Linked DNA regions of Notamacropus eugenii. The protein of the gene in region 1 purifies or fractionates together with the protein of each later gene. This does not show direct contact. Links are inferred from orthologs where the notes say so. Each region holds a gene or a part of one and is shown on either strand. Other genes may lie near its edges. The genes, in order: OCIAD1, SLC6A8 and MTCH2.

The links.
Region 2: the proteins of OCIAD1 (region 1) and SLC6A8 purify together in Homo sapiens (co-immunoprecipitation; 3 studies listed by BioGRID and IntAct, with this or other methods). This does not show direct contact. The link is inferred for Notamacropus eugenii from reciprocal best matches to the Homo sapiens genes OCIAD1 and SLC6A8.
Region 3: the proteins of OCIAD1 (region 1) and MTCH2 purify together in Homo sapiens (affinity purification with mass spectrometry; 3 studies listed by BioGRID and IntAct, with this or other methods). This does not show direct contact. The link is inferred for Notamacropus eugenii from reciprocal best matches to the Homo sapiens genes OCIAD1 and MTCH2.

Annotation. Positions count from the first base shown.
Region 1 is NC_092877.1:103,232,889-103,240,824, forward strand, and holds the start of OCIAD1 (OCIA domain-containing protein 1), read left to right. Parts: upstream 1-4,910; coding exon 4,911-5,007; intron 5,008-5,441; exon of another isoform or gene 5,442-5,569; intron 5,570-6,049; exon of another isoform or gene 6,050-6,971; intron 6,972-7,006; exon of another isoform or gene 7,007-7,029; intron 7,030-7,483; coding exon 7,484-7,549; intron 7,550-7,777; coding exon 7,778-7,858; intron 7,859-7,936. UniProt on the Homo sapiens protein: Maintains stem cell potency. Increases STAT3 phosphorylation and controls ERK phosphorylation. May act as a scaffold, increasing STAT3 recruitment onto endosomes. Involved in integrin-mediated cancer cell adhesion and colony formation in ovarian cancer.
Region 2 is NC_092879.1:22,484,140-22,491,599, forward strand, and holds the start of SLC6A8 (sodium- and chloride-dependent creatine transporter 1), read left to right. Parts: upstream 1-4,409; 5' UTR 4,410-5,343; coding exon 5,344-5,605; intron 5,606-7,460. UniProt on the Homo sapiens protein: Creatine:sodium symporter which mediates the uptake of creatine. Plays an important role in supplying creatine to the brain via the blood-brain barrier.
Region 3 is NC_092877.1:3,363,220-3,371,147, forward strand, and holds the start of MTCH2 (mitochondrial carrier homolog 2), read left to right. Parts: upstream 1-4,861; 5' UTR 4,862-5,092; coding exon 5,093-5,179; intron 5,180-7,928. UniProt on the Homo sapiens protein: Protein insertase that mediates insertion of transmembrane proteins into the mitochondrial outer membrane. Catalyzes insertion of proteins with alpha-helical transmembrane regions, such as signal-anchored, tail-anchored and multi-pass membrane proteins.

The DNA.
Region 1 (7,936 bases):
TAGATACGCAAAGATGATCAAAAACCAAAACTTTTGGAGAGGACTAGGGGATATAGGCACACTGAGTTACTACTACTGGAGCTCCATTCCTTTTTAGGCTCCACTTATGTATTCCTACATTTCTTCCCCTACTATTCTCCAGCAGTCTTATCACCCTGAAAAATCCCTCAGTTCTGTGGCTTTCTCATCATGGAAGAAACCTCCACCCTACAGTCCTTCTTCTGATTGGTCAGTTCCTCACAGAACCTCCATTATAAGAAAGTGTTCATGTTCATTCTTTCAAAGTTCCACAAGGCTCCTCTCCGGCATCTCCAAACTTCTTTCTCCATCATGACCTGGTTCAGGTAACTTCTCCTCCTATTCCCACTTTTCAGTTTCCTTTTTGTTGTCTTTCCTGGTAGAATGTAAAGTTATTGAGGTAAAGGATTATCTTTCTTTTTGCTTGTATTTGAGTTCCCAGTACTTAGAGCACAGTGCCTGACACATAGTTAGTGCTTATTAAATGCTTGTTGACTTGACTAGAGTTGACTTGGAGTTGTGAACTGGTTCAGCCATACTGGAAAGCAATTTGGAACTATGCTCCAAAAGATACTAAGTAGTATACACCTTTTAATCCAGTTATACCAGTATTAAAATAAAGACATCAAAGAAAGAGGAAAATGATTCATATGTACAAAAATATTCATAGCAGCTCTGTATGTAGCAGTACTGGAAACTGTGAATGTGTCAATGAATTGGGAAGTGGCTAGAGAAACTATAATATATGAATAAAATGGAAATATTATTGCACCATAAGGAGTGACAAAAGGAATCTATTCAAAGGAACCTATTGATAGGCTTTATATGAATGGATTCAGAGAAAAGTGAACAAAACCAGAACAATTTGTATAATAACAATACCACTGTAAATACAAACAATTTTGAGACTCAACTTTTTTGATCACTACAATGCCAAACCACAATTCCAGAGGACAAATGCTGAAGCATGCTACCACCACCTTTGGACAGGGAGGTGACACATTTAAGATAAAGAAAGCTATATATTTTTAGATACGGTCAATGTGAGAATTTTTTAAAATTATGAATTATGCAATTTTGTCCCAAAGTTTTGTTTTTCTTCTTCTTTAATTTTTTTTCGGGGGAGGGAGAGGGGAGTGAGGGACAGAGTTCCCACTCCAACGCCCCCCTCCCAAAAACAAAGAGAGAACAAAAGGAAGACTATAGACAAGCAGGACAGTCTGAATGTTATTAAGTTTTCTCATTTGTAAAATGAACTGGGGAAGGAAATGGCAAACCACTCTCGTATCTCTGCCAAGAAAATTCCAAATAGGGTCACAAAGAGTAGGACAGGGCTGAAAATGACTGAACAAGAACAATTGAAAAGAAAAACAAGCTCTACATAATAGATTTACAGTTGTATATAGAGTCCTTTCCTCCTGATCTACACTGTTCATTGTATCTGGTGTTTTTTAAGTTCAGAATAAACGAAAAAGAAGAAATAAAAAAGAAAGCAGAGCATCAGAGAAAATTAATTGTGGAGTACTGAAAAGTCCCGAGAGAAAACAATTCTCAGGGAAAAGTACTTACTGAAGACAAAGAAGGTCCAAGTGTCTGGTTTCCCAGAAACCAATTTATATGTAACTATTAACGAAGATTTTGAACTTTAGAGTTGGAAAACCCTAATAAATAAAACTTTTTGATAACTATGAGACAACCACATATTATATATTTGTGGTGGACCAATGAAGGTGTGAATTTTGGTTTCTCACCATAAGGCAGAGATGAGGAACATCATAAAGGAGAACATCATGCTATGAGGTAGGAGAGACGGAAGTGGAGACTGAAGGAGCTGAGCGAAGACAGTAGCACAGGAAGAAGGCAGGACTGGCCCCTGGCTGGCTGGAGAGAGAGCAGTTCAGTTAAAAAGAGCTGAGAACACGGCTCAGAATTAAGACTGCATAACCATACTATAGCAGTCCACCTATAAATCTGAGTAACATTCCCACTAATGCTTATAGTTTCCATGGGAAAAGTGGACACAAACTTAACAAAATTCTAGCAAAGAAGCCCATTAGTGAGGAAAAGTGACAGGAACAACTGAGAACTACAGGAATTGGATGTGGATGATGATGATGATTCCAGCAGATGTTCCTAAAAAAAGCACTCATACTAAGGGCAGAGAGAAGAGCATTGCCCTTCTGCTGAGCTGTATGGATTAAGACTTAAACTCTGTTTCTACGAGCTGAAATGATTGGAGGAAAATGATTGCAGCTGGCAGCTTATTGGAGAAGGAAGAATCCTTTGCTGCTTAACCAGGAGTGTATTGGTAAATGCTCAGCAACCAATTCTTTAAAGTACATTATGCAAGATATAATGGTAAGTTTAATTTGCATTACTAACATTTTCTCAATCACTTTATTAAGTCTACAAATCAACAAGTTAATAAATCAAGTCCTGATCTGTAGGATTTGCCAATTTTCACAAGTAATAAAAACTTATCCTGAAAATTTAACAATTGGTTTTCACAAGCCAGTACCTGGTGCCAGCACATCTGTATTTCTAGCTGGTGGGAAAAGATAAAGCTTGTCTACCATGTCCTTTACCTTTACCTGTGGCTTGAAAAGGGGGAACTTCTCCTTCCTCTCAGTCCAGCTAAAAAAAGCAGATCTAAATAGTTCTACAAATCCCAGACTTATAAGAAATGATTCTGATAAAAGAGTATAATGCTGCTTTAGAGACCAGTCTTGGATCAGTTCCAGAGGAGCAACCAGAAGCAATTCTGTCTACCTAGTGCTTCATGTGGCAGACTGTTCCCTAGAGAGCCAGTAGCATCAGTTCCTGTAGTTCTCAGTTGCTACTGCCACATTTCCTTACAAATGGGCCTCTTTGCTAGAATTCTGTTAAGTTTGTGTCCGTCTACTTTTCCCATGGAAACTACATGCATTAGTGGGGATGTTACTCGAATTTATAGGTGAACTGCTATGTTACAGTTAAAATTGCTTTGTATTCTGCATTCTAATTGTTTCATGATTCAAAATTAATGGCATCATTTTGACTGTTATGCTTTAAATGGACATCACTGGGGGGGGTGGGGGGGGGGGCAGAAGCAAAGCTTGTGAATATCTTTGACACACTAGGATTACCCCTAAGACTTCTGAGAGACTGAATTGTGGCCATGTGGCTTTCCTTACTCTTGAACCCTAATTTGCTGGTGAGTCTGATAGTCCAGATTGAGAAAAAGTCACTATCTGAGCTACCCACTTCCAGTTCCAAGTTCCACAGAGCTACACAGAGAGCAAGCAGCTGAAATTATCTACAGTTGCAGGCCAATCCCCACCAAGGGCATCTACTGGCCCACACCATGTGCCTGTTAGATTCTTTTCCCCAGTATGATTCAACCAGACTCCACCTCCTAGCAGGTGGAATTTTATAGATTTTCCAGGACTAGGGATGTGGTAAAGCCAGAATAGAAACAGAACTGGAGAGAGGGATTCATCAACAAGAGGACTTCTTTTATGCTATTTAGAATAAAGGAAAGGACTCCAGGAAGGAAGCCTGAGTGAATGGTTTGGCATAAGCCTAAACAGATTATTAAGGACCTCAAAACAGCTAGAAATTCACCAAACTAAAAAGAAAACAACAGCACATCAAAGAGGAAAGGACACAAATTCCATAAGGAAACATCCACAAAAAGAAACTAGGAAAGAGATTAATTGCCACAAGGTTGCTGAATTCTCACAAGACTCCCTTTTATTGGTGCAAAGAATGACTATCTGATGCTTCATACCTTTGTAAGGGGAAGAGTTGTTAAGTTTGGGACAGGAAGAGATCCTTTGTGCTCAGCACCTGGCTTCAAGAGAGGACACATACCATTCCAGGCTGGTTCAGGGAGAGGCCCCTGAAGGGAAAAAAAGACTCTGGGAAAAAGCCAATATATAAAGAGCCAGTAGCTGAACACGTCCCTGATTCCCAGCCTGCAACACCACGGACTTTGATGTATTTCTTCCTAGGTGACATTGGGGACTCCCTTGGTTGAGCTGAGATTTCATTTCCAGTGAAAGAGCTCACTCTGTGTATTGTCTAGTATACTGTAACCTGTACAACTTCTCTCATTTCTATTTCCTGTTGCCTTGGATAAAAGGGTTTTATTCACAATTTGTGAATGGTTTTCTCATAACTATCTTTTGGTGGGAAAATAGTTGAGCCTTCAGATATCAGATATACCTTGGGGACCGCCTTTTTTGTTAAATGAGAGTAACTGGGCTTGAACCTAAAAATTATCTCTTCTAGACTAGCAAAACTTGGGGGAGGGGATCAGACGGATAAATTCTGGTCTAGCATCCCCTCTGAGCAGAGTAGAGCAAGAGAGCTTAGTGGCTCCAATCTCCTGCTCCTCTCCAGGTAGGAATCAGTTGGGAGACATTCCAGAGAGATCTACTTATCCCTCACGGTAAGCCACACGTAGACAACCCACCTACCTGACAACACACAGGAACACATACACGTGCCTTCTGTTGTGAAGAAATTAGAGAAAGGGGAGTTAAACTAATACAATGAAAAAGTGTTCTGGAGTAACCATCTCAGGGCTTCCAGTTCTTTTGACTTGAGAGGGGGCTGCAAGGCCTATACTGCGGACTGTTTGGCTTTGTTTCCACAGGGCACACAGTAGTCTCATCGTATAACTAATTAACAGAAGGGACCCTGGAGCTCGTGCCGGCCCAATCCTCGTACTTACTGATCAGGCCACTGACTTCCCAGAGAGGTGGTGCCTGGCCTAACGTCATCAGCTCCTGGCTGGCTCTAGCATCCAAGTGCTGACTCCAAATCCCACGCTCCACTACCACGTGGCATGCCCCTGCCCCACGCGTTACTGGGGTCTGCGGTGGCGCACGCAGGGGACATAGTGTAGAATGGAAGCTGCATTAGGCTGCGGACGGGGCAAACGAGACGCAAGGGATCCTGGCAAGGAAAGAGTCCCTTTTCTGCCTCCGCACCGCTTGAATGCAGGTGGGCTCCTACGTGTCCCCCCGCGAGAATACGAGGCGCCAAGTGCTCAGGAGGGTCCCAGAATTCTCGTGCTTTGCCCGCTCAGGAATTCAGTTAGGTTTAAGAAAAGATGGGTCGCAGAGGGCAAAAGTTCAATTCCCAACCGGGAGGTGGAAAGGGACTTGCGGCTCTAGAACTCAGACGCCTGACGTGCGCAAGTGCAGTGCGAGGAGGCCTCGAGAGGGTGGGAAAGGGGAGGGAGAAGGGGCGGGACTAAAGTAGATTTCCAACCAAAGCCCGCGAGTGTTTGCACGTGAGTGTAGAAGGAGAAGGTGGTTGGTGGAGGTCTTGAGGTCATTTCCTGCTCCTTGATTACGTAAGCATCCGGGTCTTTGTCCTTTAGCTTAAACGCTAGGTGCCCACTCCGCCCCCTCGGCCGGCCTCGCGTGCCTTCCTCCGGCCTCGCTCTCGCGTAGCGCCAGCCCCGCCCCCCGGCCCATCCCTTCGTCCCCTCCCTCCCGCAGCTTAGGTGGGGGGGGCTCGCGTGCGCTCTTGCTGCCGCCGCCGCCGCCGCCGCCGGGAGGTGGGTGAGGGGCCTTCCTGGCCCAGAAGGGAGGGCACGACCAGCCGGACAACCCCGAGGGAACTCAGGGCCTCCGGGGCCGAGAAGCTGTGACCTCCCATCCCGCTCCCCATTCATCCGCGGGACCGGGCGGCTGCTGGGTGTCCGGGGTGGGGAGGAGGGGGAGGGGTCCAGGAGTTAGGGGGGCCGTCTGTGCTCCGGGCCATGGGAACCCCGTTTGGGGGCGGAGCGGGGAGGGTCGCCTACTTTGTTTGTTCTCCGTGTCCTCTGGGACCTCCCGTGCAATCGAGCCTTTTTTGCCCCCTGCGTTTTAGAGGCTGTCTAGACGTATTGTCTTCCTTCGGTGGGGGAGGGGGCCCGAGCGCGCTGCGGACTGCCGGTCTGTAAAATGCCGGGGAAGCGTCCGAGGCCCGGCCTGCCCCCGCGTCTGTTTTGTGGGGGGGCTCAGTTCTGTGGGGAACTCCCAGTGAGAAAACTGCCCCTTGCTTTAAGGCTCCAGGGCACCCAGTGATCTCCCTGGGCTGTCAGGGGCTGGAGTTAGGTTCCTTCCCCCGCCTCCCGGGCATGCCTTCTGTGGTGTGTTGTGGCTAACCCTTTTGTAATTCAACTTTTTAAAAATTATCTCATTTTATAATTGTATGTTGAGAAGCAAGGGCTTTCCGTGGGACGTAGGACAGGATCATATATCTGAATTTGAGGATGAATTTAAATAAGTAGAAAGATGGAATCTGCCCTCCCATTTTTTCCAAACTGCTTTTTTTTTTTTTTTGCCAAAAAGAAGGCTAGTATTTTATGATCACTCCTGGTTTTTTTTGTAGAGGAAAGGATATTAGATTTGAAAATAGAAGGACCTAGAGTGAGTTCGATTCCACCAATTATAATTGGCATAAATTATAAGTAATATTGGCATAGTTTTAGTCGAAGTCGCATTTATCACAGTATTTTTGCATGCCAAAACGTTTTAAACAATTCCCATAGAGGGGTAAGATCGACACCTAATTCTTGCCTCACTGCTTTTACATTTTTCCAGAAATGGAGTCCTTATCTTAGGAGTTTTGTCTTTCAGTTTATCAAATACTATACTACTGTTTTGGATGACTTATGTAATGTTTCACTAGTCGTCTTTTTTATTTGTTAACTAGTACCAAATTTTATTATTTTATGTTGTATTGCTCTCATACTGCAGCTTAAGGACCCATTAATTTTTCCTTTGTGCGACCTTATGCAAGTAACTATGCACTTCTTAGTTTCTTCATCAGTAGAATAAAGAGGTTAGAATAAATACATGATGTCTGAGATTACTACTTTGTTACTTGGTCATGGTCTACTTATTCTTCAGTGACCCCTGGAACCACAGCGTGCCAGTGCTACCTGGGATTTTCTTGGCAAAGATAATAGAAAGGTTTGCCATCTCCTTCTCCAGTGGATTAAGACAGACGGTGGTTAAAGGATTCTCCCAGGTTAACACAACTAGTCAGTTACCTGAGGCTGGATTTGAATTCTGGTTTTCCTGACCCTAGACTCAGCACTCTATCCAATTAGCCATCTAGCTGCCCCTGAGATTGCTTCTAGTACCAATGTTTTGTGAGGAATTGGGATGAATTTGAATTTTCCATAAAATTATGTGAAATAAATCAACTTTACTAAGATAAGCATTCCTTTTGGTTTTGCACAATTGCAAAGGCAACACAGATGACAAGTATTTGTGAAGTTGCAAGATTTCCTCCCCAGTGCCATTTTATAGACATAGTATTTTAATGAGGGAATAACTTCACCCTACTCAACAAAACTATGATTTTTTTTTACCCATCCTGGTAGTTTTTGTGATGTCATGTTTATGAATCAATAACAGTATCTATTTTTAAATAATTTTGTGATACTTCTTAACCTTCTAATATAATTCTCTTACAACAGGAAAGATGAGTGGAAGGACCGATTTTGGGACAGAGCAGAATGCAGAAGTCTCACCACCACTACCTAGTAAATAATTTATTGAACATTTGTAAATGCTGAAACTTTCTGTAGTTTACTTTTCTTTGGCTTGAGAGATACTAAGGTTTAGACATATTTGAAATCGAAATTTTTCCAAAGTTGAAAAAGTACTTTCTACATATTTTAATTGTGTCATTGAAGAATGAATACTGTTAAAATGTAGAGTTTTTTCTTGTAGGTTTTTTGATTGTTTTTTTTTTTAACTTTGATAAAAAGACATAGGAATGGATTACATTCCGACGGAAGAGGAAAGAAGAGTCTTCGCTGAATGTAATCGAGAGAGCTTCTGGTACAGATGTAAGTCAAGTTATTTATTACATTTTAAGTAATTATTGTCTGAAAGTAATTAAGTGTCTGAAAAGATCACAGTGTTAT
Region 2 (7,460 bases), on another chromosome or scaffold:
TACCTTCCTGTACCACAATTTGTTTAGCTGTTCCTCTGTCTCTGGGCATCCACTTTGCAGTTCTCTGCTACAACAAAAAATGTTGCTATAAAGTTTTGGTTTATGATGGATCCTTTCTTTGGTGTATGTGGGGACCTTCAGGTATATGTCTAGTAGTAGAATCTCTGGTTCAAAGGACCCAATGCTTTCTTAATTGCTCAGTCCCGGGTGGGGAACTTGTGGCCTCGAGGCTACACGTGGCCTTCTAGATCCTGAAGAGCGGCCCTTTGACCAAATCCAAACTTCCCAGAACAAATCCCCTTAATAAAAGGATTTGTTCTGTAAAACTTGGACTCAGTCAAAAGGCTGCATCCCAGGACCTTGAGGGCCACATGTGCCCTGAAAGCTGCAACGTTCCCACCTCTGAACTATTATCTCCATTGGATGACATCCAAATTTATACAGTTATCCCTTGCACATCAAGATTTTGCCCATCTCGGTTTCAATATATCACAGGTCGGCATAAGAAATTAAATGGGAATTTTTTAGGAGTTTTATGGAAAGTGCAAACGACAGAAAAACTTTAGAAACTCAGAAATACATAAAATGTATGTATAGTATTGTATAATACCAACATATTTCATCATTTGATACCATAATAATTAAGGTTTCTTCTTTGGTACAAAGGGAGGGCCAAAACTTTTTACTTGGATTTTCCAGATTTTGGGGGGGAGGGGTCCCAAGCCTTTAACCCCTGAGGTATAGAAGGGATAAGTATATATTCAGCCCCAGTCCCACATCACCAATTACCTTTTTTAAACTGGATATCCCAGGAATACCTCAAACTTAACATGTCCAAAACTGAAGTCATTACCCCACACCCCCCAAACCCTCCCCTCTTCCAAGCTTCCCTCTTATCTGTCAAAGGCACCACCATTCCTCTAGTCTCCCAGCTTCATAACCTTGGCATCATCCTGGTCTCCTGGCTCTCTCTCATCCTACATATCTCAAAGTTAATGCCAAATCTTGCCCTTTTGCCCTTCCATCTTACCCCTTCTCTCCACTCACATAGTACTATCTTACTTCCGATTGTTGCACCAGCCTCTTCATTGGACTCCCTGCCTCAAGTCCCCTCTCACTGAAGCCCATCCTCCACACTGCTGCCAAAACACAGATATGAACCCTTGACAATCAACTCTGATGGCCCCTTACTACCTAGATGATGATATATATAAGCTTCTCTGTTTAGTTTTTAAAGCATTTTGAAATCTGGTTCCTACCTCCCTTTCTATTGGATGTCCCTTCTTCCATACCCTGGGATCCTCAAAACTGTCCTCTAAATGACACTTCTGCACAGACCCCAAGCCTTGCTGGGTTCTCTCGGCCTCGCTTTTTCCTTTTTCCTCCCAACACGGTGCCCTCCCTCCCCAGCTACCTTGTACTTAAGGTTTTGTATTTTACTCTCCTTAGATTTACCCCGTCTACACTTACACATGTCCCAGTAGCTTCCCCATTAAAGGACAATAACCAACCAACCAGCCTCCCCATTAGAAGATCAACTCCCAGAGGGCAGAGATCGTTCCAGCTGCCAAGGCCGGGCACACAGTCTGGTATGAAGTACTTGTAGGTTGTCACCGGATAAAGGGATCAGGGGATGTGGCATTTCTTTAGTCATTTTAAGTGGGGTGGGGTGGGGTGATTGATTCAATGCCCCCCCCAACCCCTTACAAAGGAAAGACAGGCCAGGAAAGATATTAACGGGAGACACCGGCTGGCTCTGGCTCCCTCCTGCTCCTCCTAGGCGTCACCACTAAGCAACCCAACCTTCTACTCTCAGACTCATAGGTCCCCTAGGGCAGGAGCTCTAGGGGACAGCAGCTCAATCTGGTTTACTCTGGAACTGGATTTGCCAGCTCCCAGCTGGCTAGAGGCTTAGCTGGCTGAGCCTTAGGCCTGGGCACTGGGGCCCTTGGCTGGGAGAAGAAGGGAAGGAGGAAGAGAGGAAGAGAGAAAGGGAGGGAGGGAAAGAGACAGGGAGATGAGTTTTCCCCCTCAAGGGAACCACTAATTCGTAAGTGCTGAGCCTTAGGCCTGGGATGTAGGAACCAAGGAGTGACTAGTACAGCTGGAAATTCTGGGGAGGGGCCTCTTGGGCCCGCAGGGGGAGGTTCCCATAGTGGTCACCAGAGGGCCGCCGAACCACACTCCTTCCTCCCTGAACCATTGGCAGGGGTGGAGGATGATTGGAGAGTGGGGAGACCACTTAGGATGGGAAAGCTGTGATCAGGGCCTGAACCTGGTGCAGGCTGTGTAGGTAAAAGCAAAATTACAGGCCTACAGAGGGATACTTGGAACCTGGCTACTGCTTAAATATGGGGACTGGGAGGAGATTTGAGGGTGACTCGGAAGTTGATGAATCTGGTAACTAGAAAAACAAAGGTGTCCTGAACAGAAATTAGGACGTTAGAAGGAGGGGTGGATTTAGGAGGAAAGATAATGAGGTCTGCTTTGCACGTACTGAATTTGAGCTGTATGTGAGCCGTTCAAGAGGAGGTCTCTACTCTGCCAAAGCAATCATCCAGGATGTCTATTTCTAGGACCCTTTGGTTTGCAAAGCACCTCACTTCCAACCACCCAGTGACTCCCTTTTTCCTGTGAGAAAATGGAGGAGTAGAGAAGTCAGGCATCTGCTAAGGAAGCATCTGGGACCTAGTATCCACTCTTATCTCCTAACTAGGGCCACAAATGTAGCCAGTGCTTGGTTCTTCCCTTACAAGTTCCTCTGCACTGATACACATGCAGATCCATGCCCAGATGAATGCAGTTCAAGGCCCCTGAGTGCCAACCCTGCCAAGTCATCCCCAACTAGCTGTGTGCCTTTGGCCAAGTCACCGGATGATCCTAGTTGCTTCCTGCCATGGTCAGACTTAGGCTTCAGGAAAAACACCTCAGCAGCTAGCTGTGAGGGGGCCAGATGAGGGAGGAAGGTTCTCTGGGCCTGCGCCTTGGGGCCAGGTGGATAATGAGGTCAACAGGCTGGGAACTAGATTGGACAAACATTTCTCTAAGATCACTTCCAGTTTCTGTTTCTGAGGCAGATGTAGAACTCCTATATACACACCCACAAGTACACACCCTTGGTCCACACTCATACAATGGGGTAAAGGGCTGATAACCTCAGCTCATTTCTTCCATTCACAGAAAGGACTTTTCTGTTTCTTAATGACCAGTTGTAACGGGTTCCCTCTCAGGATCAGAAATGCCCAAGCTGCTTTGAGTTGGGGACTGGAGGTTGATTCTTGTAATCAGAGAAAGACTCATCTATATTCATTAATCCACCTTCATCCCCCACCACACCCCACTCATTTATCCCTCAGAGGTACCACCCTCCCTTGCTTGGTAGGCCTCCGGGAAGTTGTTACCTGGCCCAAAGTCCCCCTTCCCCCCAGACCCTCCATCTACAATCCTGTAACAACTCTCCAAGACAGCCCCGGATCTACAGTTTCTTTGTTTGTTTCAATATAATCCTTGTTGTTGTGGCAATATAATCTTATCTCTGCTGATAGGTTGGTTTTTACAATTTACTCTTTTACGAATTTATCGGTCACCTCCGAGGGCAACGAGTCATACTTTGTAGCGAAGAATAAAAAAAAGAGAAAACTAGCGATTCAGCAAAACCTACTCATTAACTGTGTCAGGTACTGTAAGTAATATTCCACACCACTAGTCATCCACCTTTAAAAAAGGGAAGTCCGTCACCCCTTTAAATGAGATCTATCGACCCAGAAAGGGATGTTTGGTTAGGACAGCTTAGCAGCCGCCCCCATCCCCACCCCCATTCCCCTCCTAAATTCACGCTTCCCCATTTCCCTCCTTGGGCCATTCCATGAGCCCCATCCAGCGCCAAATGGAAGGGGGAGAAGGTCAAGGCTTGTGGGGGGAGAAAGGGGGGTGGGCAGTGTTTAAAGGTGCTCAGGGTTGCAAAAGGGGGGACGAGGAGCAGGAGCGAAGCCCAGGAGGGGGGGACTGGGGAGGGGAGACCGGAAAGTATGTGTGTTGCCGGGGGGAGGGAGACAGGCGTTCTCGAAGAAAGGGAAGTAAAGGTTACAGGGAGGGCAGGGAGGGCAGTGATACGGGAGCCAGGGCTGACCCGAAGGCTTCGCTCTGCGGCAGTCTGGCAGGCGGGGGTGGGGTGCGGGGGGTGCCAGGGCAGAGCGCTGTAGGACTTGGGGGCGGGGAGGGGAATCCGCTAAGAAGCCTTTGCCAGCGGGGGCCCAACCCATCCCAAGCGAGCGTGCTGGGAGGAGGAAGGCAAGGAGGTGGGCGGAGTGATGGAGAGGGAGGAACGAGGAGTCGACTGTCGGGGGTGGGGCGACAGTGACATCACCTCGGAGCAGGCTCTTAAGCGGCCCCGAGTCGGGGGGAGAGAATTGTTCTGCCCGCTGGGGAGAGAGCTCGGAGATCGGAGCGGAGGAGCAGGCGATCAGCCCGGAGTCGGAGTTACTGGGGATAGCCCAAGGTAGGAGGAGAGCCTTTCGGGCTCGGGCCGGAAGGCCCCCCCCCCCCCTGCTCTGCAGGGACCCCGCCACCACCTTCTCGGCCGTCTTCTTCCAGAGTTTGCCGACAGCGAGCAGACCTCCACTCGGCCGCTTGCCCCTTGGCATTCTATGCCTCCCGGAGTGCCCAGGTGAACCTCGGGCCCCGCTAAGCCCCCATAGGCGTCCCCCGCTGTAGCCGCCACCGCCACCGCCACCGCCAGCGCCGTCGCAGCCGCCGGGCCGAGTCCCCAGCAGCTGTCCGAGTCTCCCCCCTCCAGCCCCGGACACACATGAGATTCTTCAGGCTGACTTTCAAGTGTTTTGTCGATTGCTTCTGAGTCCCCCCCTCCCGCCCCCTCGAACCTCACAACCCTTTATCCTCCCCCCAACTAGGGGAATCCCCATCCTTTCCCCTTCCCCTCCCCCCTCCCCTTCCCTCTGGCAAAGTTAACCCCCCTCCCCAAATTCTGGGGGCTGCTCCCTTGCTGCCCCCGTAGATCTTGGGCTTGTGTCCCCCTCCCCCAATTGTTAGGGGCATCTGCTGTCGACAGTTGGCGAATTCTTTAGAGGGGATTTGAGGAGACCACCTTGTGCGTCGGAGTACCCGGGCCTCCTTTAAAGGGTCAGGAGTACCCAGACAGTGTCCTTTGTATTCTCTCCGTGATCCCCCCTCACCCTAATCCGAGCCCTCTGTCGTATTCACACACACACACACACACACACACACCCCACACACACACACATACATACACACACTTCACACACACACACACACATACATACACACACTTCACACACACCCCCAGCCCTGCCTAGTAGCGGGGCCATGGCGAAGAAGACCACAGAGAACGGCATCTACAGCGTGTCTAGAGAAAAGAAGGCCTCCCTTCTTGACCCCGCGGACGGGGCCCCCCCAGTCAAGGCGGAGGTGGCAGCAGCCGGGCGGGGGGCCCCGGGCCCAGGCCTGGCCATCCCGCCCCGGGAGACATGGACCCGCCAGATGGACTTCATCATGTCTTGTGTGGGTTTCGCGGTGGGCCTTGGCAACGTCTGGCGTTTCCCGTACCTGTGCTACAAGAACGGCGGAGGTGAGTGTGCAGCTGGCTTATCTTCTCTCCCGGATGCTCACCTCCTGGCCCACATCAGTGTCCGTCCCCCCCACCTTCTCTAACCCCCCCCCCACTTGTCTATCCTATTCCTCCAGCCCTGCTCCCTTTCCCTCCGACCCCATCCCCCCATCTGCTTCACCTCCAGCTCCTAATCCTTGGCAGACCGTTTTCCCCCGTCTATCTCTCCTTGCTTCTCACCGCCTAGCCTACTTTGCCAGTTGAACTCCACACACGCCCCTCCATTGCCCTGGTCATCCATCGGCCTCCTTCCTCCCTTTGGTCCATCCCTACCCAGTCAGAGATGCCAAAGTCCATGGACAGGGAGGACCCGGAAGGGGAGGGGAAAAGGGTTGTGTGTAGATGGGGTGGGGGGGAAGGGATATCGAGAACGCCAGCAAGTAGTGACTGGGGTCCTGAAGTCCCCTCTTCCTGAGTCTTCAATGTTCCCAGGGGTGGAACTAGGGGCTGGGAGATGCCCCCGGGGTGGGCCCAGGTCTGCCACTCTCATTGCTTTGCCCACCCTAAAAGCTGGGGAACTGTAAATGGGAAGGATAGTGAAGACTCTTGGTTGGGGGGGTGAGGGTGGAAGTAGGGGTTGGAGATGGGGAACAGTGAAGGGAATTTGAAAGGCAAGAGAAAGGCCTTTTCTGAAACGGTTTTGCCCCCTCCCCAATCCATCTCAGGGGCTGACTGCCCCTTTAAGAGCATGGGTTACTGGGAGAGCTCTAGGAGGTGTCTGCCTGACACCCCCCCCCTACCCCCCCCCCCCAGGGCCCACAGTACCATACTGAGTGAGTGCACACCTTCCTGCACTGCACAATGGGCCACTATCTGACTGCCTGTCACACTGGGTGCTTCTGCCCCCTTAGGTACACAGGCCTGGCTTTATGTACACATGCGTACGCACTTACACGTGTTCTACGCATGTGTTTATCATTCATGCTCATGCACATGCTGTTACATGTGAATACACGTACCCCACAGGGTACGTGCACTCAGTCATCGCTCATGTATACATGACGACATGTTGCATGTATGTTCTTGGTGTGTTCATAAGGCGTATGGAGTCATAATTTGCACCCCAAGGGGGGGGGCTGCTCGTGGGGAGGGTGCTGTCTAGATACCATTATATTAAGGAGAGTGAACCAGAATCTGGAGGTTCAGGGGCCCAGCAGCATTAGGGGTCTGAGAAGCCAGAAATCTGATGCTCAGCTCTGCTATCTGGGGGAGAAGGAGAGGATTGGGGAGGAGTAGGATAAGATGGTCCCAGATCCTCAGTATCTCAGTGGGTTATGGGTTCCTCTCTCCCTCCTCCCAGCCACTGTCCTTGGCCTTGACCCTTCTGCTAGCCCAATCCTCAGTGCCTGAGGCCCTGGGGGAGGAGGCTGGGTTAGAAGGAGGGGGGCAGGCTTAGAAGGTAAAAGCAGCGTCTCCAACCCAGTTCAACAGGGCTGGGACTTCTAGCTGGCTCATACACCCTCCCATCACCTCCCTGTACCCTCCATCAATTCCCTGGGCCCACTGGTCCCATGTCTCTCTGACCTTTCTCCTTTCTCCTCCCATTCTCTTCTCCTTTCCCTGTCTTTCATCTCTGTCCCTGCCTCCGGTCTTATCTCTTGACCCTATCCCAGGCTGGGGCTCCGTTTTCCATTTCCTCCAGAAAGCTCTCCCTGGCCTCCCCCATCTGTCCTTTTCTCCTGCCCAGGTTGGGGGACCCTGGGGCCCCTCCCTGGCTCACCAGCTGTCTCCACCCCCTGGCGTGGGTTTCTCTCACATGCATGCTTGTGGCTGTTGCGTCACATGACGCAGTATGGCGCAGACACATGAGGCAGGC
Region 3 (7,928 bases), about 100 Mb from region 1:
AAATATCTGTTCACCAAGAAAGTAACCTTCTGTAGTCTTATTTTTTTTCCCTTTTCTGGGCATTTTCCCATCCAGTGACTTGACTTCTGAGTATTCTCTTCACACCCACTTTGCCTCCAGATCTGCCTAGCCAGTGCCTGGGGTCTGAGATTCAAATGCTGCTTCCCAGCCTCAGGGCTTCGGCAGGGGCAGGGCTGCTATTCAGTGCGAGATGAAGTTCAGGTGTTCAGGTTAGGTCCGGGCAGGGCCGCCTCAGGGCTCAGTTCCCTCAGGGGGGTTATGCAGAGACCTTCAACAATGGATCCGGGCTCCTCCCTGCTTGGGGAGCCCTGGTCTGCTCCCGCCTCCGCTGCTGCCTTCCAAAGAGGCCTGAGTTATGGGGGCACCCCACTTCCCTCTCCGCACGCTGAGAAGACCCTCTCACCAACCTTTGGGGCCCGTGGGTGGAGGGACCTGCAAGGCAGCTGGAGATTCTGTCCCTGAAGCCTGCTCGGATCTGTTCCTCTCAGTGCCGCGCGGCCAAGGCAGGGCTGGGCTCGGCTCCGGGTGGGGGGCGCGACGGACCTTTTGCAAGACGTTTTGAGGGCTCTCTGGAACAGAAATCTCGTCCGCTCCGTTGTTCTGTGGCTTCTACTGCTCCAGAATTTGTTGGGAGTTCTTTTTTACATATATTTTATGGGCTGTGGGTTCGGAGCTAGCGTATGTGTGTCTTTCTACTCCGCCATCTTCATAGATTTAAGTTTTCAAAAAAATATGATAATATCCTTCCATCACCTGACCTCGAGTCAAATAACATCCTCAACTTGTAGGACACTGGATTAAGAGTGATATTTTGTTAAAGCCAATCTCTGTCCTCAATAATTAAATTCAACAGACATTAAGTATACAAGGCACTACTGTGGTAGGCCCCGCAGATAAAAAGAGGTAGAAAGCCAAATGGCGATGGTCTATGTCCTCAAGGAAATTAAAAGTCTCCAGGAGGAGGTGAGATATGCCAAGTATGCAGAAAATGATAATACAAGATAGAATGGGATGAAGGCAAAAGAGAAGTCCAAAATATTCTGGGAACATTTGATGAAAGAGCATTGCTTGATGTGGTACCTGAGCTGAATTTTGATGAAAGGATGCAGAAAGTCCTATATAAGGAAGGAGTATATTGTAGCCATGGGAGAACAATGGTGCAGATTAATTTAGGTCAACAGTAACATTACATAGTGCTATAATACTATATATGTATAGTGTTAAGAGAAGTATTTTTGTGTTTTTGAGAAAAGGTTGCTGGGAAGACATAATTTTTATAGTAACAGCTCACTCACCAAAAAGTCCTATTGTGACACCCCACTAAGGCATGCAGGTCATGACCCTGGGTTTTCCAAAGCTTTGGCAGGTTCTGTCACAATGGAAAGGTTTCAAGTACAGTTCTAGCCACAGATGGCATGTGGTAGCTAAGTACTGAGGGTGTTTATCACCAAGAGGCCCTAGCTGAGTCCCATGCCTGTAAGCTCAGCCTCTTCCCTGCCCTGGCTTCTCTCGCTACTTCTGCAGGAAGCCTTTCTCAGTACTCCCAGCTGCTGCAGACTTCTACCTTGAGATCCTCATCCTGGTCTCTGCATAGATTATGGACCTAAATGTTGGTACACGTTGTCTCCTCCATTAGAATGTCAGTTCCTTGAAAGCAGGAACTGTTTTGTGACTTGCAATAGTTCCACAGCACTTATCACGGTGTCAGGACATAGTATGCATTTAATAAATGATTACTGATGACTGGCAATGGCGAACCACACACACACACACACACACACACACACACACACACACACACACTTTAAATTGTGCTCATTCCTGAACAGTTCCCTTTCTTCGGCAATAACAGCAGATGGTGACAAAGTGGGGATTATCCAGAGTCACAGATTTAAATGATCTATAACTTGGTTGTTGCTACCCTAATGAGAGAATAGAAGCTATACCAAGTATACATATTACTGGAGGAACTAGACATATCAATCTTCATGTTCTCACTAAACAAAACCAGAAGTTGTCATTAAATAGGAGAATGGCTCACAGATTCTCACGTAAGGAAACTGGAAGAGCTGGTTTTATTCTGCATCCAAAGACAATTAAAATAACACCTCATGGAACATTTTGTCACCTTACTGGATATGTTACGTAAGTTTTTGCAAAAAGACTACCATGAAAAACTGCAGTTTATGTACCACTGTCTTACAGATGGTGCAGAAATTCTAATAGAAGTCACTAAGTTTCCCTTTCTCCTAATCAAATCAATCTATACTTTGGTATTTGGTATCTTCAATGCAAAGGGAAGCATAGGTGAGAATGTATATGGGAAAACATGCATCAGGAAAAATGAGGGAAGTCAAAAAGAATTAGACTGTTCAAAAGCCTCACCTTTATATATTATGAATACTTCAAGAAAATAAGCATTAGGCACTTGACAGCGTGGCAAGCACCTAAAAAGGTCCAAGAAAATGAAGTTGATTCTACCTTGACAGGAAATGCCATTATTAGTATAGAAGTCCTACCTGAATGAGCTACCTAGATATAATCAGCCCACCTGTTTATCAGAGCGACCCTCAAAACTGTCAGAAAGCTAGAAAAGCCAAAACCAAAAGACAGCGGCACCCAGCTGAAACCATTCAAACGAGTTACTCACAATGAAAAATGGGGCGTAGCCAGAAAAAGGGTATAAATCCAGACCCCAACAATCTCAGACAGGAGTTTAACTGACATAAACCCACTTCCATGATAAAAAGTAATAAGATCCTTAGAAAGCATCCTAGTCAACAAACAACTTACCTGCCCAGAAGAGACCTAGCATCCGAAGGCGGTCCTGCACATCTGTAACATCTGGAAGCGGGGAGGTTGTGTGCGGTATCACCTCTCTCTTAACCGAGAAGTGAGATCAATTTAAAGTAAGCTCCAAAAGGGATCCAAACTTCCCAAAACAAAGTTGGGTGAAGAGTGATCCCAAGGGCATTTGAGGATGAAAACGGAGGGTCAGGTGAAAACAAAGACGCATCTGCCCAGTCTGGGTAACAAGCTGTCAGCACCACGGACAGCAGAACCGCCACACTCGGACTCTGGAGAGAAGGCAGATGGAGAAACGTTAACCCTGAAGGTTTTAGATGTTGAAGGGACCTACCCTGGAGTGACACACCTTTGAGGGGCAGAAGGGTCAGTCACCTACATCTGGAGGAGAGAGAGGTAACAGGTAAAGAAAAAACGTCTCAGACTTTGCTGATACCAAAAAAAGAAAGGGAAAGGCAACTGAGAAAACGTTGGCTATCCGATGTCCAGGCGCCAGGTCAGCGTGCGGCGGAGGGCGTCCTCCACGGGGGTACCCTCCACGGGGGCACCCTCCACGACGGCGCCCTCCACGGGGGCGTCCTCCACGGGGGCACCCTCCACGGGGGCACCCTCCACGAGGGCACCCTCCACGGGGGCGTCCTCCACGGGGGCACCCTCCACGAGGGCACCCTCCACGGCGGCGTCCTCCACGGGGGCGCTGGCAAAGCAGGGACAGGCAGGCTGTCCTGGGCAACGTCTCCGCCGTCACAAAACCCCCCAAGGCTGGGAAGCCCGCCAGATCTCTCCTCGGGCACCCCCTCAGACACCCCAGATACGTCACCGTGTCTGCTAGCGCTCTGCCGGCGCAGCTTTAAAGGAATCCTCCTGCTCAGATAAAAGCCTTGACCGCTACAAGCCTGACTGCCGATGACTCACCGCGAGCACTGCCTGGACGAGGGCAGACTGACAGCATCGTGTCAGCACAAGGCAGACCCAAGTAATTCAGCCACGTGTAATACGCGGCAAAGCGCGCCTGCGCACAGAACAGGAGAGGCAAGGGATGACGTCAGGGACGTCGCGCCTCAGCACCCTCGCCCTCCACGCGGGCCCTACGAACTTCTGAAAAACAACACTTGGAAACCATGTTTTAATAGGACTGGTTTCCTGCGTAGCTCTGCGCTTGTTCCACATTTAGAAACATGTTCCGGGCAAGGGGGGCACAAAATACATGGCAGGAAGGCCCGCCTCCTGAGGAGAGCTCGGCCTTCACACCGCCCCCTTTTCCTGGTTTTCTGGGGTCCTCGCGATGCTCTTGGGCCAAACACACGCGTCACTGACCGGGCCTCGGCGCTCGTGGGGCCGCGGAAACCCACCCAGAGGGCAAGGCGCGGGCGGGCTCGGAGGTGGGGGCGCAGCCTCAAGGCCCGGGCCCCGCTGAGACCTCTAACGGCCCGGCGCCCAAGGGGGGCAAGGGCAGCCCCGACGGGGCACGGGCTTGGTGATGTTACGTTCCACGCTCCCAACCCCACGGGGCCCTCCCTTGGCTCCCACGGCCGCCCTCGGGAGCCCAAACTCCCGAGTTCGAGTGTCACCTCGGCCGCTCGCTAGCGAAGGGCGGGGGCCCCCCGGGCCCCTCACGTGGCTCCGCCCAGCGCCCCCCGCGGCTCGCCTCCGCTTGGGCGGGAAGGCCTGGGCAGCAGGAGAAGGGCTCCTCGCCCGCTCCTGGGTGAGGAATGGGGATCCTCGAGTGAGGCCCACGGACTGACGCCGGAGGAAGGCGGTTATCTTCGTGATTCTCCGGGGGAAGGGCCGGGAGCGCTTTCTTCCAGCTGTCCGGCAGTTAGCGGCCAAGTGAACTACCCGCCATGGCGGTTACGGCTCCTCCTTCCCTCAGGCCTCGCTCCGCCCCTTGCTGCCCCGCGCAAGCGCAGTAGCCTTCCGCCCCGCCGCGTGGGGCCAAAGCGAGGACAGGCCCAGGGGCTTGGACGGGCCCAGGGGGCGGGGACGGGCCCAGGGGGCGGGGACGGGCCCAGGGGGCGGGGACGGGCCCAGGGGGCGACCCCGCCCCACAGGCCTCGCCTCCTCCCCTCGGCTCGCGAGGCGCCGCCGTTTCTTCGGGTCCTGCGTGCGCGCCTCCGCCGCCGCTCGCGGAAGGCGGGGAGAGGGCGTGCGTGCGCGCTCCGCGGGTCAGCGAAGCCGCCGGCCCCGGCACGTGATCCGGGACCCGGTCGGTCGGTGGCTTGGTCCGCCAGCCCGCTAGTCCGTCGCTCAGTCCGTGGGTGCCATCATGGCGGAGGCGGCCAGTCAGGTGCTGCTGGGCTCGGGCCTCACTATCCTCTCGCAGCCGCTCATGTACGTGAAGGTGCTCGTACAGGTAGGAGGAGCCGCCGCCGGGCCTGCCGTCCCCGTCCCCGGCCTGCCGTCCCCGTCCCCGGCCTGCCGTCCCCGTCCCCGGCCTGCCCCGAGGCCCGGGGCGCCTCATCCCTGGTTCCCTGGGCCCCATAAAGTCAGGCCTGAGGGGACCTTGCGAAAGGGACGCGCGGCCTGCCCGGGGCCCTGGCCCGGCCCGGCCCCTTCTGGGCCCAGGAGCCTCCGAACCCGATCCAGAAGGTGTGATGGGTTCTCCCCGTCGGCCCAGCTCAGAGACCGCCCGGACGGGGACCCTCCCCCCGCTTCCCTTTTCCTTTCAGTCGGAAAGAAAATGATGAAAAGAGGTAAAAGCGCCGTAAGACCCGGCCCCTCCCCCCTCTGCCGGCGCCGAGTGACCGTGGCCGTGGGGCCACCGTGGCCGTGGGGCCGTCGCCCTTCTGGCTGCTGCGGTCCGTGGCAGGCTTTGGAGCCAGGCACCCGTGTGGGCACCAGGAGCGCGCTCAGAAATGGCAGCGGGTGCCCGGGATCTGTTCTCTGCTCTGCCCTGGGAGCCCGTGGGCGCCCCACTGCCCCGGGGTTCGAGAAAGTCACCGAGAGCCGGCGCGGGCTTGCCCCCTTTGGAGCGCTGAGTACTTTGAGCTTTCCCCCGAGTTTCTCCTTCGCTGGTACTGCCCAGCACTCGCTGCGGGCACTGACACTGTTCCCTTGGTTCTCCCCTCAGTCCTGTGCTGTGTCGGTCCCGCTGCCAGGCGTGCCCTCTCCCGGGGGCGCGCCCTCTCCCGGGGTCCCGCTGCCAGGCACGCCCTCTCTCCGGCTGACATCTCAGCTCCCGTGCTGTGTGCTGTGTCAGGTCCCGCTGCCAGGCGCACCCTCTCCCCGGCTGACATCTCAGCTCCCGTGCTGTGTCGGGTCCTGCTGCCACGCTCGCCCTCTCCCCGGCTGACATCTCAGCTCCCGTGCTGTGTGCTGTGTCGGGTCCCGGTGCCACGCTCGCCCTCTCCCCAGCTGACATCTCAGCTCCCGTGCTGTGTGCTGTGTCGGGTCCCGCTGCCATGCTCGCCCTCTCCCCAGCTGACATCTCAGCTCCCGTGCTGTGTGCTGTGTCGGGTCCGCTGCCAGACGCGCCCTCTCCCCAGCTGACATCTCAGCTCCCGTGCTGTGTGCTGTGTCAGGTCCCGCTGCCAGGCGCACCCTCTCCCCGGCTGACATCTCAGCTCCCGTGCTGTGTGCTGTGTCGGGTCCCGCTGCCATGCTCGCCCTCTCCCCGGCTGACATCTCAGCTCCCGTGCTGTGTGCTGTGTCGGGTCCCGCTGCCATGCTCGCCCTCTCCCCGGCTGACATCTCAGCTCCCGTGCTGTGTGCTGTGTCGGGTCCCGCTGCCAGGCGCGCCCTCTCCCCGGCTGACATCTCAGCCAAGCCTGACTTCAGTCTGAACGCTCGTTCTCTTCTCCTCGCGTCCCCCGGGAGGGTCCCCGTTCTTGCCGTCCCCCGAGGTCCTAGCTCCGGTCACTTCCCCGATCTCCGCCGTCCTCACCGCCTGTCTCCTAGAAGTACTGCGGGGTGCCGTGCCCCCACGAACACCCCAACTCCGGAAGCTTGGGTGGCAGCGATTGGTGAGATGCGAATCAGAAGAGATCCGAGCTTCAGACCCAAGTGTCGAAGCGCTCGGGGAAAGCAGGCAGGTGGGCGCTGTCGGGGAGCTCGGAAGGGGGCTCGGACGCCCGTGTGCGGGGTGCCTTTGGGGAACAGCGAGGAAGTGCAGCCCTGCCCGCGGCCCTGGTGGTGGCCAGGAGCTGGGAGTGGAGGGCTGAACAAGCCCCAGTGCGGGACGTGGAGAATGAGATGGCGTCCGGAAAGGAGTCTGCAACGGGCCAAGACCTGGCAGGGTGGTTCTGGATCGGCACCCCCTGCCGAGAGGGGGAGCCTGCGGGGCCAGGGAGCAACTTGGAGACTTCTTCTGCTTGGCTGAACTCGTTGTAGGGATTTGGCTTTTCTTTTGTTTCCAGGCTGGGGGAAATAGGGAGTGGGGAGAAAGCCTCATAGTTCAAAAAATGAAATGAGTTCCTGTTAGGGTCAGAGAGGACCCTCCTGTTTGGCCTTTGAAGATCTTCTGTGTGGCCCTTCCTAAATCTCCAGTCTCCTGACACTTTACTCCCTTTGACCAACTGGGAGATCTAACCAGAATGCTGTTCCTCACTCAGGAGACTTCATCTCCGTTGTCTGGGCCTTTGTACTAGCTGTTCCCCATTCCCTCTTTGTCCACTTGTTGGAGTCCCCAGCTTCCTTTCGGGAGCAAGGCCTTCCTCAGTGGCTCATCAGTGGCTTTCCGTCCGAGGTTACCTCATGTCCACTCTATTTGTCCCTTGTGCATACTTGTCTGGGCCTCTTGTCCTGTGTGTAGAGTGTCCACTCCTGAGGGTGAGTGGGACTGGGTCCTTCTGTCTTGGGACGTTTCCTGGCAGCCAGAGAAGTGTCCTGCGTGTGGTGGGTGCTTAATAAAGATGTCTTGCTTAATAGATCTGACATGACTAAAGTTTACAAAGTGCTTTCCAAGTCGTACGTCTTGGGAATATGAACCTGAGTTCCATGTTGGAGAGAATCACATTTCAACATTCTTTGGCTTAAGCTGAAATTAATTCAGGTTGTCTATCAAAAGCTGACATTTGTGGGTTTAGATTCCACAGTGCCAGGGTTTATTTGCACCATAGGGTAGATTCAGAAGAAAAGATTTGGACTCCACATTGTATTTGAAA